Linked DNA regions of Rattus norvegicus. The protein of the gene in region 3 purifies or fractionates together with the protein of the main gene of each other region. This does not show direct contact. Links are inferred from orthologs where the notes say so. Each region holds a gene or a part of one and is shown on either strand. Other genes may lie near its edges.

What was found.
Region 1: the proteins of Nrbp1 (region 3) and Tsc22d2 purify together in Homo sapiens (affinity purification with mass spectrometry; 5 studies listed by BioGRID and IntAct, with this or other methods). This does not show direct contact. The link is inferred for Rattus norvegicus from reciprocal best matches to the Homo sapiens genes NRBP1 and TSC22D2.
Region 2: the proteins of Nrbp1 (region 3) and Tsc22d1 purify together in Homo sapiens (affinity purification with mass spectrometry; 6 studies listed by BioGRID and IntAct, with this or other methods). This does not show direct contact. The link is inferred for Rattus norvegicus from reciprocal best matches to the Homo sapiens genes NRBP1 and TSC22D1.

Annotation. Positions count from the first base shown.
Region 1 is NC_086020.1:144,795,575-144,799,839, forward strand, and holds the start of Tsc22d2 (TSC22 domain family protein 2), read left to right. Parts: upstream 1-1,465; coding exon 1,466-3,387; intron 3,388-4,265. UniProt on the Homo sapiens protein: Reduces the level of nuclear PKM isoform M2 which results in repression of cyclin CCND1 transcription and reduced cell growth.
Region 2 is NC_086033.1:58,158,310-58,162,577, forward strand, and holds the start of Tsc22d1 (TSC22 domain family protein 1), read left to right. Parts: upstream 1-1,468; 5' UTR 1,469-1,805; coding exon 1,806-4,268. UniProt on the Homo sapiens protein: Transcriptional repressor. Acts on the C-type natriuretic peptide (CNP) promoter. Acts to promote CASP3-mediated apoptosis.
Region 3 is NC_086024.1:30,850,309-30,854,366, forward strand, and holds the start of Nrbp1 (nuclear receptor-binding protein), read right to left. Parts: upstream 2,801-4,058; 5' UTR 2,736-2,800; intron 66-2,735; 5' UTR 47-65; coding exon 1-46. UniProt on the Homo sapiens protein: Required for embryonic development. Plays a role in intestinal epithelial cell fate and proliferation, thereby involved in the architectural development of the intestine potentially via the regulation of Wnt-responsive genes.

The sequences.
Region 1 (4,265 bases), on a different chromosome or scaffold from region 3:
TCATCCCTAACGCTGTTGTTGAAAACAGAATTTCTGTCTGAAAGATCATCTTTCTAATTCAGTCTGGCTTGCTGTTCTGTGTTTGTCACCCTCGTTTCTCTTAAATCTCACTTCTCCGACTATCATATTTTCAGGGCTTTTTAACGCGACTCGCTTTCTCCAGACATACATCTCTTCTGCAGCTGGATCGCCCTACTTTTCTCCCCTATCACCCGGGTTCCACTAAGACTCTGTTAAACGTTAGACCCAGCACATGACCTCGGGTCATCCAGGATTTCCACACGCCGGCACTAAACCGTGCGACGTTCCAGGATTGCAAATAAAAACCGTCCTCTGGCGTCTCAACTCCTAATGAACCTGCAGCGTAAAATTTAAATTTGAAAAAATTTTAAATAAAGAACCCGCTCCCTTTTCTCTGCCCTTTGGCCCCGCCCACGAACCCCCCTCAAGCCTCCACGAGAAGCTGCAGGAAACCGGAGGGGGCGGGGCGGTGACGTCACGACGCCGACGCGTCACGGAACGGCGGCGGCTGCGGCGCTGGCGGTGGCTGCGGCAGCGGCGGCATTTTAGTCTGCGGCGGCAGCGGCTGCGGGGCTGCTGCTCCTCCCAGCATCCCTGGCGCGGCCATTTCAGCCCCATCTTGGCCGAGTGGAGGGAGCTGCAGCCGCTGCTTCAGCAGTTTGAATTTCAGTTTTTCCGGAGTCTACGAACCGGCCGCGCCGAGGAGAAGCGGAAGACGCCTCCACCGGTCCCCCTCACGCCGCCGAGCGCCTCCGCACGCTTGCCGTTCCTTCAGCCGCCGCCGCCCCTCACGCGCCTCAGAGCCGCGAGGAGGCCGGGCCCGCCGCAGCGGGTGGCTCCCTGAGGGAGGCCAGACTGCCGGCCTTCCCCGCCCCCGAGCGGGCTTCCGCCGCCACCGCCGGCATGGCCCCGGGACTGCGCTCGGGCTAGAGCCCGGGACGGAGGGCTGCCTCCCGCCGCGGACCTCCAGCCCCGTCAGGAAGCGCCGGTCCCGGCCTCGCCGCTCCGCCTTCTTCCTCCGCGTCGCCGCGCGGGAGCAGCCGCGGGACCCGGCCAAAAGAGCCCGAGCGGGGCAGAACCGCCCCTCACGCCGCCGCCGCCGCCTCCTGCGCCCTGCGCTCCACCCCCAGCCGGGCCTGCTGACCGCGCCGAGCGCCGGGCTGGACTGACCGCGGCGGCTGAGCTGTGCGAGCAGCCGGCCCGCCCCTGAACCACGCTCGGACCGTCACTGACGGGTTGAATTGAGGCACCACTGCCGCGGGAGGTGAGAAGGAAGGAGGAGGATGTCGCGCCTAGACGCCGGCGCCCAGAGCAGCCCGTGACTTGCGGCGTGGGCCGTAGACCCAGGCGCGAACTCGGACTTTGTCTTTGGGGGCCCGTGCTCGGCCCTTCTCGGTTTCCGGTGGGGTCCCAGAGGAGCCTCTGTCCTCCAGCCTTTTCCACCATGTCCAAGATGCCGGCCAAGAAGAAGAGCTGCTTCCAGATCACCAGTGTCACCACGGCCCAGGTGGCCACTAGCATCACCGAGGACACCGAGAGCCTGGACGACCCGGACGAGTCGCGCACGGAGGACGTGTCCTCCGAGATCTTCGACGTTTCTCGGGCCACGGATTACGGCCCAGAGGAGGTGTGCGAGCGCAGCTCCTCGGAAGAGACGCTCAACAATGTCGGGGATGCGGAAACTCCCGGGACTGTGTCCCCGAACCTCATCCTAGATGGGCAGCTGGCAGCCGCTTCAGCTGTGCCCGCCAACGGAGGCGGCGGCGTGCCGGCCCGGAGCGTGGCAGGGGCACTCTCCCAGACCCTGGCGGCGGTTGCCACTTCAGTGTCTGCTCCTGGGCCAAGTAGTGCAACTCCATCTCAGCCCCCTGCCACTTGTAGTTCCCGTTTCCGCGTGATCAAACTAGACCACGGGAGCGGAGAGCCGTATCGGCGCGGCCGATGGACGTGTATGGAATACTACGAGCGGGATTCAGATAGTAGCGTCCTCAGTAGGTCCGGGGATTGCATTAGACACAGCAATACTTTGGAGCAGACTGCAGAGCGGGACAGCGGCTTGGGCGCCACCGGAGGGTCGGTGGTGGTGGTGGTGGCCTCCATGCAGGGGGCGCACGGGCTGGACTCGGGAACTGACAGCTCCTTGACTGCTGTGTCACAGCTACCCCCGTCGGAGAAAATGAGCCAGCCCACTCTCGCCCAGCCGCAGAGTTTCAGCGTTGGGCAGCCACAGCCTCCACCGCCCGTAGGTGGGGCTGTGGCTCCAAGTTCGGTGTCGCTGCCGCTGTTCCCCGGAGCAGCGACCGGGTCGCAGCCAATGACGGCAGCCACTCAGCCAACTCAGCTCCAGGGAGCCGTAGCCGGCGGCGCCCTCCCCGGGCCTGTTGGCCAGGGGCTGCCGCCGCCGCCGAATGTCAACCTGGCACAGCCTGTGGCCCTGACAGCTCAGCCTGGCCCGGCGGTCGGCTCCTCGTTGTCACAGCAGTTCGCCTATCCCCAGCCTCCGATACCACCCGGGCATTTGTTGCCGGTCCAGCCATCGGGCCAGAGTGAGTACCTGCCGCCGCACGTGGCCCTGCAGCCACCAAGCCCTGCGCAGCCCTTGTCTACCAGCGCTAGCGCGACCTCTGCTTCAGCGGCCAGCTTTCCTCTGGGATCTGGCCAGAGCGTTTCTTCCTTGGGTGCCCAGATGATGGGCGCCTCTGCCCAGCCCAGTGAAGTCGTGGCCCCGGGTCCGGTTCCCGTGGGCCAGGCCGCTCCTTGTCAGCCGGCCGGAGTGGCCCCAGCTGCTATAGGAGGCGTGGTGCAGCCTGGCTCTGGGCTGACCGGGGTTGGGCAGCCCCAGTCCGTGCAGCCTCCGCCACATATGGGTGGCAGTGTTCAGCTGTCAGCCGTGCCTGGTGGTCCTCACACCGTGGTGCCCGGAGTTCCAAACGTGCCTGCAGCGGTACCCGTTCCAAGCGTGCCTGTTGTGCCCACCACTTCTGTTACTATGCCAAATGTACCCGCGCCTCTGGGCCAGTCTCAGCAGCTGAGCGGCCATACGCCAGTCAGCCGGAGCAGCAGCGTCATCCAGCAAGTTGGTCCACCCTTAGCGCAAGGCACACACAGTGCACCAACAAGTCTACCACAGTCTGATCTAAGCCAGTTTCAGACTCAGACCCAGTCTTTAGTCAGGCAAATTGACGATACTAGAAGAAAATCAGAACCCCTACCTCAAGCACCACTTTCTCTCATTGCTGAAAATAAGCCTGTTGTGAAGCCTCCAGTTGCAGATGCCCTGGCAAACCCTCTTCAATTAACACCTATGAACAGTCTGGCCACCTCTGTATTCAGCATAGCTATTCCTGTTGATGGTGATGAAGACAGGTAGGTAAATTTTTATTTTGAACATCTGGTAGAGTTGCTTGCCCAAATAGATGCAGTTTTGGGAGTGAGTTTGTTTGTTTCCACTTAAGGTCTTTATTTTTAAAACTTAAGTTTGGTAAAAATCAATTCAAAGTTTGGGAGTAAGGAGACAAAAGTCACGGGATTTTTGTTGTTGTTGTTTTGTTTTTGTTTTCTTTTTAAGAAATTAAATGGATAGTGGTTCAACGCCGTTGGTATATTTATTTCAGCTTAACAGTTTAAAGATGAGAGCTGGTATTGCCCCCACCCTTAGTAAGAGAGTCCCTTTCTAAGGTAGTAATTACTTTTGAGTGCTTATTGCAGTTTTGCCTGAGTTAGTTTTGAAACTCTTTAAGACAGAAAACCAGAGAGCCTTTTCCTGGGGGCAGGGAAGGAATGGAATAGAAGCAGTCTCCATCAGTGAATTGGGCAGACTGGAAAGAACGATAAAATGTGGTGAAGTCTAGCTTTGACTACCCCTAAGTCAGTCTTTAATAGAAGGGAGTCGTGAGAGTTCCCAGTAACTTTTCAAACTTTTCAAAGTTTAAGCAAAATAGGAAAAAGAAAAAGTACTGGAAGATGGATGTTCTATCAGTCTTTAGTGAAGGGAGGTGTGAAATGCCTAAACAATAATAAAGGCTATAGTTTTAAAATGTCTGTAACCAACGCCCTCTACCCAGAGTGTAGGGTATGCTTTTTAAATAGGTAGAAATTAGTGCATTGCTACGCTGTTCATGGTTGTGGCTACTTAGGAATTGTAGGGTTCTTTTTTTTTTTTATTTTTTTTTATTTTTTTATTTTTTAAGGAACTATCACATAGACCTTTGACATGACATAAGTCCAACCTTGTTAAAAACTTA
Region 2 (4,268 bases), on a different chromosome or scaffold from region 3:
GTCGTGGCAGCAGCGGAGGGCTCCTGGGAGCTGCAACTCGTGATGCTGTTGCTGAGGAGAAAAGCCTTATTACCCATTCAGCAGGCCGGGGGGACACCGCCCCAGGGCGCGCACACCCGAGACCTATCGCTCCTCACCCGCCTCGCCGGGGTCCGCGTGGGAGACAGCAGCGGACACGCCTAACCTGCGCGCACGCGCGCGGCGTGGCCCCCACGCCCCACCCTAGCTTCTCCACGCGACCCGGATTCGCTCGCGCGCCCGAGTGCCCCACCCCCACCGCCCTCAGGCGTCGGCGGCTCCGCCGGCCTTCGGCAATTTCCGTGGAGACGGAGCCGAGAGCTCGGCACGGACCGAAGACAGGCCACCTCCCCTAGTCAGACCCAGCTTTATGTCTGCAGCGCCGGCGCGCACGCGCAGACGCCATCTTCCCTCTTCTCCTCCGCGACCCCTCCCCCCCGCCTTCTCCTCCTCCTCCTCCTCCTCCCCCTCCTCCTCCTCCTCCTTCTCTTCGGTCAGAGCTCGACCCTCCTCCTCTCGCGCTGGGGCGCTGGTCCCTCCTCTCTTGATGCCGCGAGAGACCAGGGGATACGGAGCAGCCCGAGAAGAGCACTAGTAACAACCACCACAGCCCCCTCCTCGCCCGACGCCCTCCCACTCCTCCGCCCCGCGCCGCCACCGACCAACCCCACCTCTCATTTCTTTGAACGGCGTCGGCTGCAGCCGCTGCACCAGCCCCGTCTGGCCGTCGCCGCCGCCGCGAAAAGGAGCCACCGCCGCCCGCGGCCCCCTCCCTCCCGGTCGCGGGAGCAGCTCGGTGCCGAGCCAGCCGGCGGGCTGAGAAGAGGACGCGAGCTCGCCCCTCCGCTCCCGCGCACGTCCCGCCACCCGCCGGAGCAGCCTGGGCGCCGGCGCCCTTCCTCTCAGAGGACGTGTGCCGAGCCGAGCGCCTGCCCCGAGAGAGGAAAATGCTCGGGCTCCATGGCTGCCAGTGATGGAGCGGTCCCTGGGCTCCCGCTGCCGCCGCCACCGCCGCCGCCGCGCCCCGGCCGCGCTCCGCGAGGACCCGGCGTCTCTGCGCGCCCGCCCTCGCCTCGTTGCTGGGCTCACCGTACCCGGCGCCCCGCCGCCGCCCCGCTCGCAGCCGCGCCGCCCGGGCCCCAGTCGCGGTCAGCCTTTCCTCCCGGAGCAGCCGTCGCGAGCCCAGGGGGTTTGAGAGGGGCCGCGGGCCGCGGGGGGAGGCCCGAGCGGGGCCGGCCGCGCCGGCAAGGGAGGTTGGAGCGACGCTGAGCTCAGGGCTCGCCGGCGGCCGCGGCGCCGGGGGTGGCGAGGGCCGGGCGACCGCTCGCTCCGCGCTGCCTCGGTGCAGGGCGAGCGGAGGGGCTTTGCAGCGGCCGCCGCCGCGGGAGGAGGGGGTTGAGCTGGCTCCGGAGTTGGCCAAAGAAGGTGGGCATTTCTCGCTTCTCCTCGCCTCCCCCGCCCCCTCCTGGGCTCCCCTCCCTCCCGCCCCGCACCCCACGTGAAGCGGAATATAAAGGGGGGTGTGTGACTGGAGGGGAAAGTGAATGGCGAAGGACTGAAGGGGTCCCCCTTCGGTTCCCCAGCCACCTGGTTCACCCGGTTCATCCTCCCTTCCCGAAGCTAGCCCTCGAAGGCACGAGCAGCCGGCGCCTTCGGCAGAGGAGGAGGAGGAGGGATCGCGTCGGGCGGAGCTTCAGGTCCTGTTCGCCTCTCCGGCTTCTCCATACAAAGATTACGGTGCAGAAGGAAATTGCACTCGCCTCCTCCGCCCCCCGGTACCCAGCACAATGCACCAGCCGCCAGAGTCCACCGCCGCGGCGGCCGCTGCTGCAGACATTAGTGCTAGGAAGATGGCGCACCCGGCAATGTTCCCTCGAAGGGGCAGCGGTGGTGGCAGCGCCTCTGCTCTCAGTGCAGCAGGTACCGGCGTCAGTGGTGCTGCTCCATCTTCTGAAGATTTTCCTCCTCCTTCTTCGCTGCTCCAGCCGCCGCCTCCTGCTGCATCTTCCACACAGGGACCACAGCCTCCGCCTCCACAAAGCCTGAACCTCCTTTCACAGGCTCAGCTGCAGGGACAGCCTCTTGCGCCAGGCGGAACTCAGATGAAAAAGAAAAGTGGCTTCCAGATAACTAGCGTTACTCCGGCTCAGATCTCTGCCAGCATCAGCTCGAACAACAGCATAGCAGAGGACACCGAGAGCTATGATGACCTGGATGAGTCGCACACGGAAGATCTCTCTTCTTCCGAGATCCTTGATGTCTCCCTTTCCAGGGCCACTGACTTAGGTGAGCCTGAACGCAGTTCCTCCGAGGAGACTCTGAATAACTTCCAGGAAGCTGAGACACCTGGGGCAGTCTCTCCTAACCAGCCCCACCTTCCTCAGCCTCATTTGCCTCACCTTCCACAACAGAACGTTGTGATCAATGGGAACGCTCATCCACACCACCTCCATCACCACCATCACATTCATCATGGGCACCACCTTCACCACGGACACCACCATTCATCACATGCTGCTGTGGCCAGTACATCCGTTCCTGGAGGGCCACCACCCACGAGCCCCGTGTCCAGGAAACTCTCTACAGCTGGAAGTTCTGACGGTGGTGTGCCAGTCCCACCTACTTCTGCTGTATCATCGGCTGGCTTACCTGCCTCAGTGATGACGAGCATCCGTGCTCCAAGCACTCCAGGCAGCATAGGTGTAAATTCAGTTACCGGCACGAATGCAACGAATAATGTTAACATTGCTGCTGTGGGTGGTTTCAGTCCCGGTGTGGCGAACAGCGTGCATCCCAATGCTGTTAGTATAAGTGGTGGGCCTGGAGTTACCAGCGGTGTTAATGTGAATGTCTTGAGTGGCATGGGCAACGGTACCATTTCTTCTCCTGTCCTTAACGCAGCTGCAGGTATCACGGTGGGAGTGGTTTCAAGTCAGCAGCAGCAGCCGCAGCAGCCGCCGCCAACAGTTAACACATCAAGGTTCAGAGTTGTGAAGTTAGACTCTACTTCTGAACCCTTTAAAAAAGGCAGATGGACTTGCACTGAATTCTATGAGAGAGAAAATGCTGTGCCAGGTCCAGAAGGCGTGGCCATAAATAAAGTGGTGGAGACCGTGAAGCAAACCCCCACGGAAGCGTCCTCTTCGGAGAGGGAGAGCACTAGTGGGAGTTCCGTGAGCAGTAGTGTCAGCACACTGAGTCACTACACAGAGAGTGTGGGAAGCGGAGAGATGGGAGCCCCTACTGTGGTGGTGCAGCAGCAGCAGCCGCTACCACCAGCACCACCAGGTCTTCAAGGCGTGGCCCTCCAACAGCTAGATTTCAGTAGCCCTGGTCCACAGAGTATTTCTCAGTCACAGATGTCACAGGTACAACTACAGCCTCAAGAATTGAGCTTTCAGCAGAAGCCAAATCTTCAACCTGTTCCTCTGCAAGCCACTATGAGCGCAGCAACTGGTATCCAGCCTTCACCTGTCAACGTGGTGGGTGTAACGTCAGCTGTAGGTCAACAGCCTTCCATTTCCAGTCTGGCTCAGCCCCAGCTGCCGTATCCTCAGCCAGCTCCTCCCGTGCAAACTCCTCTTCCAGGGGCACCACCCCAGCAGTTACAATATGGGCAACAGCAACCAATGGTTCCTACGCAGATAGCCCCAGGCCATGGCCAGCCAGCAACTCAAAACCCTCCTTCAGAGTACGCACAGCAGCAGCCAATATTCCAAGCGGCAATGTCCTCTGGACAGTCCAGTTCCACAGGCACAGGAGCGTCAGTGATTCCCGTGGCTCAGCCACAAGGGATCCAGCTGCCAGTGCAGCCCACAGCAGTACAAGCACAACCTGCAGGGGCGACTGGGCAGCCCATTGGCCAGGCTCCAACAGCAGTGTCTACTGTACCAGCTGGTGGTCAGATTGCAAGTATCGGTCAGCAGGCAAACATACCCACTGCAGTACAGCCACCCTCTACCCAAGTTACACCTTCAGTTGTTCAGCAAGGTGCTCCTCCATCTTCACAAGTAGTCCTACCTGCTCCAACTGGGATCATTCATCAGGGCGTTCAAACCAGTGCTCCAAGCCTTCCTCAGCAATTGGTTATTGCACCCCAGAGTACCATGGTAGCGGTGCCTCCCCAGACACAGGGAGTGGAAGCAGTGGCTCATGGAGTTGTTTCCCACCAGTTGCCCACAGGTAGTCCTTTGCCCTCTGCTAGCACCATTTCTGTTACAAGTCAGGTTAGTTCAGCTGGTCCTTCTGGA
Region 3 (4,058 bases):
GGTCTGAGCCACTGCTGACTACTGTTTGGGACTCCCCTTCCGACATGCTGGAATGAACACTCAGCCTGCATTTGTTGGGCAGAGTCAGAAGACAAAGGTCAAAAACAGACGTATAAAACTTTAATAGTCTTAACTTCATCTTCAGCCTCAAAAAATACATCTCCCTTGTTTCCTTTAAATCTAAAATCAGATCTCCTCCTACCTAAATACTGAAATGTGAATGACTCTCTGGCTTCTAGAAGAGGAGTTAACTGAAGATCACCCGAAGTGCTGCACATGAGATGAATGACAATATAGTCCACTTTAGTCAAACCCAAATATACGGTAAAATCTGGTACCCCACTCCTGCTCAGCAAATAGTGTTGCAATTAATATATTTCCCATTGGCTCTCCATGGGCCTCGATCTTCACTGTGCTTAAGAACTAGGGTGTACAGGCATTACTCAGAGCATACGACTCTAGAATGTTCCACTGAGACAGACAGCCCTATGGGCCTACATCTTCCTTAACCAACAGGCCAAAACTCCCAAGGGTGACTTATTCTACTAGAACCAACAGTGGCATTACCCACTTTTCCTATACATAGGTAGAAACTGCCTTTGGGCCAGGCGACTGGCAGGTATGACTTCCTTCTCTAATGACCTCACCTTCCTCATGATGTGTGAATGTGGCAAGTGGGTACTGTTTAACAGCATTTCTTTTCATTTACTCACTTAAATGTTTAGTAACACTTGTAGGTTACTATAGGTCACAGAATGGGAGGGTGCTTGAGAGATCAGTGAATTAAAATAAATGAAATGCCTGCACTTAATTAAGCACAAATTCAGAAAGAAAATCAAAAGCCTTATGTTTCCAGCTTTCCTTTCATTTACATTGCTCAAAGGCTTTGACTTCCCCAATCTCTGAGGCACTAGATCTGATACCAGCTACTTCTTTCCAGAACAAATAATTCAAGCTATAGCTTTTATAAGCAAAGTGTTAAACAATAACATTTCTACAGGGGCAGAGTTGCTTTAAGAAAAACCTAAGTTTCTAATTAACCCATATAATAATAATAATAATAATAATAATAATAATAATAATAGGACAATCAAATGAATAGAGACTATTAAAAAAAAACCTGAAACCTATGTGTGATTAGCTCAAGGAAGCGCTGCCTAATAAAAAAATCAATACCCTGGAAAGTAAACTTGCACTCCAAAGTCAATTCAGAATATCTGAAACCTGCAATCAACACCAACATGGCCATACAACTCTCTGATGCCCCTTTCTACACATTTCTCTCCAGCCTATACTGTTTTACCTGAATCGGGAGATTTGTATTAACGTTCTAGTAAACTCAAAGAACACAGCACTACAGGAGGAAAAAAAATCTAGTAGGCTACTTCCCCACTTTAAATTTCTAAGGAAAGTCCTTGCCTACCCTAGAAAGTCTCCTCTGTATGCCAAAACAGCTATTATTTTCGTGCATGTCTTAATAAACCAATAAAAAAAGATGAGTTAAGGATCACTTTTTCCTCCTTCCCCTATCAAGGAGCTAAGAAAATAAAGTCTGTATCAAGGAGCTAAGAAAATAAAGTCTGTTTCAGCTACATTCACACGATGTGCCTCCAATCTGAACTGATAAGTGAAATTCTAGCAAGATACAACAGAAGATACTCTAGAATGTCAAAGCTGTAGCCTATGGAATCTAAAACTACTGGACCAAGTTCACAGACAGCCCCTTCACACTGCACTTGGGAGAGAGGATGAACTGTCACCAGCGACAAATGCCCAGAAGGTACATTTCCCTCCCCAATCATGTCCCAGGAGGTAAAATAAGAGCAGTGCCTAAAGATCTCCAAGCACTCCCGCAACAGATGCAGAAACTTGTGCAACACTGGGGGTTCTGCCTCAGAGCTGCTGGTAGTTTTAACAGGGATCACACATGGAAAAGCTCATTTACATTGGTGAGGGCAATCTCCTCGAAGCCTCTAGCTACCCTGAGGGTGCATAGTACATTCACTCCAGGGCATTGTCTGTCATCTCTCGCAAAGTTGTTCTCTCGGCTTCCATTATTAGTTGAAAGCCCTCTGCACGTCACCCCGCATAGCTCGCAGCCACAGGCCGCTCTGAGGAAACCCAGAGAGCCTCTGAGGTCAGCAGAACTGCTCGGTCGGAGAGAAAGCAAGCTCGGAGGCAGGAGGCCCTCAGCATGTCAACAGGTCGCCCGGCCAGTATTTGGAAGGAAGCGGTAGCGAGCAGACAGTGGCCGGCCAGGAGACTGAGCACCACAGCCACCTCATCAAAGGCCAGCCTAGCCGCGCCGTCAGGCCGCAGACCACGCCCCCGCGCTCGGCGCACCGCCCCGCGAGCAGGCCGGGCCCGGACGCCGCGCTTCCTTCCGCAGGTCCTCGGGCAGGGGCCCCCGCCCCGCCCCCGCCCCGCCCCCGCCCGCGCCGCCTGCCCCGCCTCTCGCGGCCAGAGTTCCAAGAGAACGCCGGGGCCCCCCGACCCGCGCCCGCAGAATTCCGGGCCGCCGCGGCCACGCCGGAGACACCAGGAGGGCGGGCGGCGCCCTGGGGCCAAGGTGGCCCCTCAGCTGCGACGGGCCGGGCTAGGTCGGGCCTGACTCCCGAGAGAGCAGGGCCGCCGGACAGCACCCGCCGGCCGCGGCCCGCCGGCCCGCGGCACCCGGTGATCCTGCCGCCCTTCCGCGAGCCCCTCCCTCCAGGGCCTCTTTCTCCGGAGCTCACCTCCCGACTCCGCGCCCGCAGCCTGCGCTTCAGCTCCAGCTCGGGTTCCGGGGCCTCGGATCGCAGCGACTCCCTCACAGCTGCGCTCCGCAGCGCAACCGAACTGCGGGCCCCGCCCTCGCGGCGTCCGGACCAACAGTGGGCGGTGCCGCACCGCCGCCAGGTTTCCATTGGACAGGGCAGCGGGGGGCGGTTCCCACAGACAGGCGCTCTCAGGGCAGTCTCCTGCCGCGTCTCCTCCCTTGCAGGGCTCTGGCGGACAGCTTGCCAGCGTTGTCTTCATGTCTCTCTGTCCATCCTCCGCCCAGTCGAGGTGCTCCCAAGTAATTCTGCCGGACGAAAGGAAGGCCTCTCTCTCCTTGAAAGCGCCATGACAGTCATAATCCTCCGAAAAGACAAAAGGAACGGAAGACGCAGCCTCAATCCGAGGGATGAACCCACCCACATTCCCCATTTGGGAAAGAGACAGTTCATGGGTCATCAAATTTTCAGAAAGCTTTTCTTTTTTTAATCGCTTAACATGAAACCTAATAGTTGCTGATTTGCATAACATTATTTACCTAAACATATAACCAGATTCGACCCTCATAAGGGAGAACTCATTGAAATTAATCAATGATAGTTGTCAAATGCGAAAATGAAACAAAAAAAAGTTACTCAAATTTAAATTGGCATGAGCCCAAAATAGAATCCGAAGTAAGAAGATCCATCAAAACTGTCCTTGTGGGGCTGGGGATTTAGCTCAGTGGTAGAGCGCTTACCTAGGAAGCGCAAGGCCCTGGGTTCGGTCCCCAGTTCCGAAAAAAAGAACCAAAAAAAAAAAAAAAACTGTCCTTGAAAAAGTATTTGGAAAGAATTTACATTGGTTGTGAGTTATAATTACAATAGATTTTGGGTTAAGCCATTGATCTTGGAAAGTTAAAGGCAAAATCTAAGGGATGAAAATTCATGCTGCCATTATCTATGTATTATCAAGGAAGAAGGATGAATCATCTGAATCTGAGTGCCACAATCAACAACGTTACTGTCCTGAAAGGGGACTAATTAGTCCTAGTTCACCGGTTCAGATGGAAATCCTGTAGAGACTCATTTTTTTCTATCTTCACTTTTAAAATGCTTGCTTTAAAAAACAAAATTTCAACAAGCATGCCAGACAGATCTCTGTGAATTCGAGGCCAACCAGGGAGGGCTACATAGTGGAACCCTGTCTCAAAAACAAAAGCCAACCTTTTTTGTTCACCCAGCATAGTGTCGAATACGGTAATCCTATCACTCCGAAGGCTAATGCCATGAGTTCATGATCAGCACAAGCAATAGCGCAAC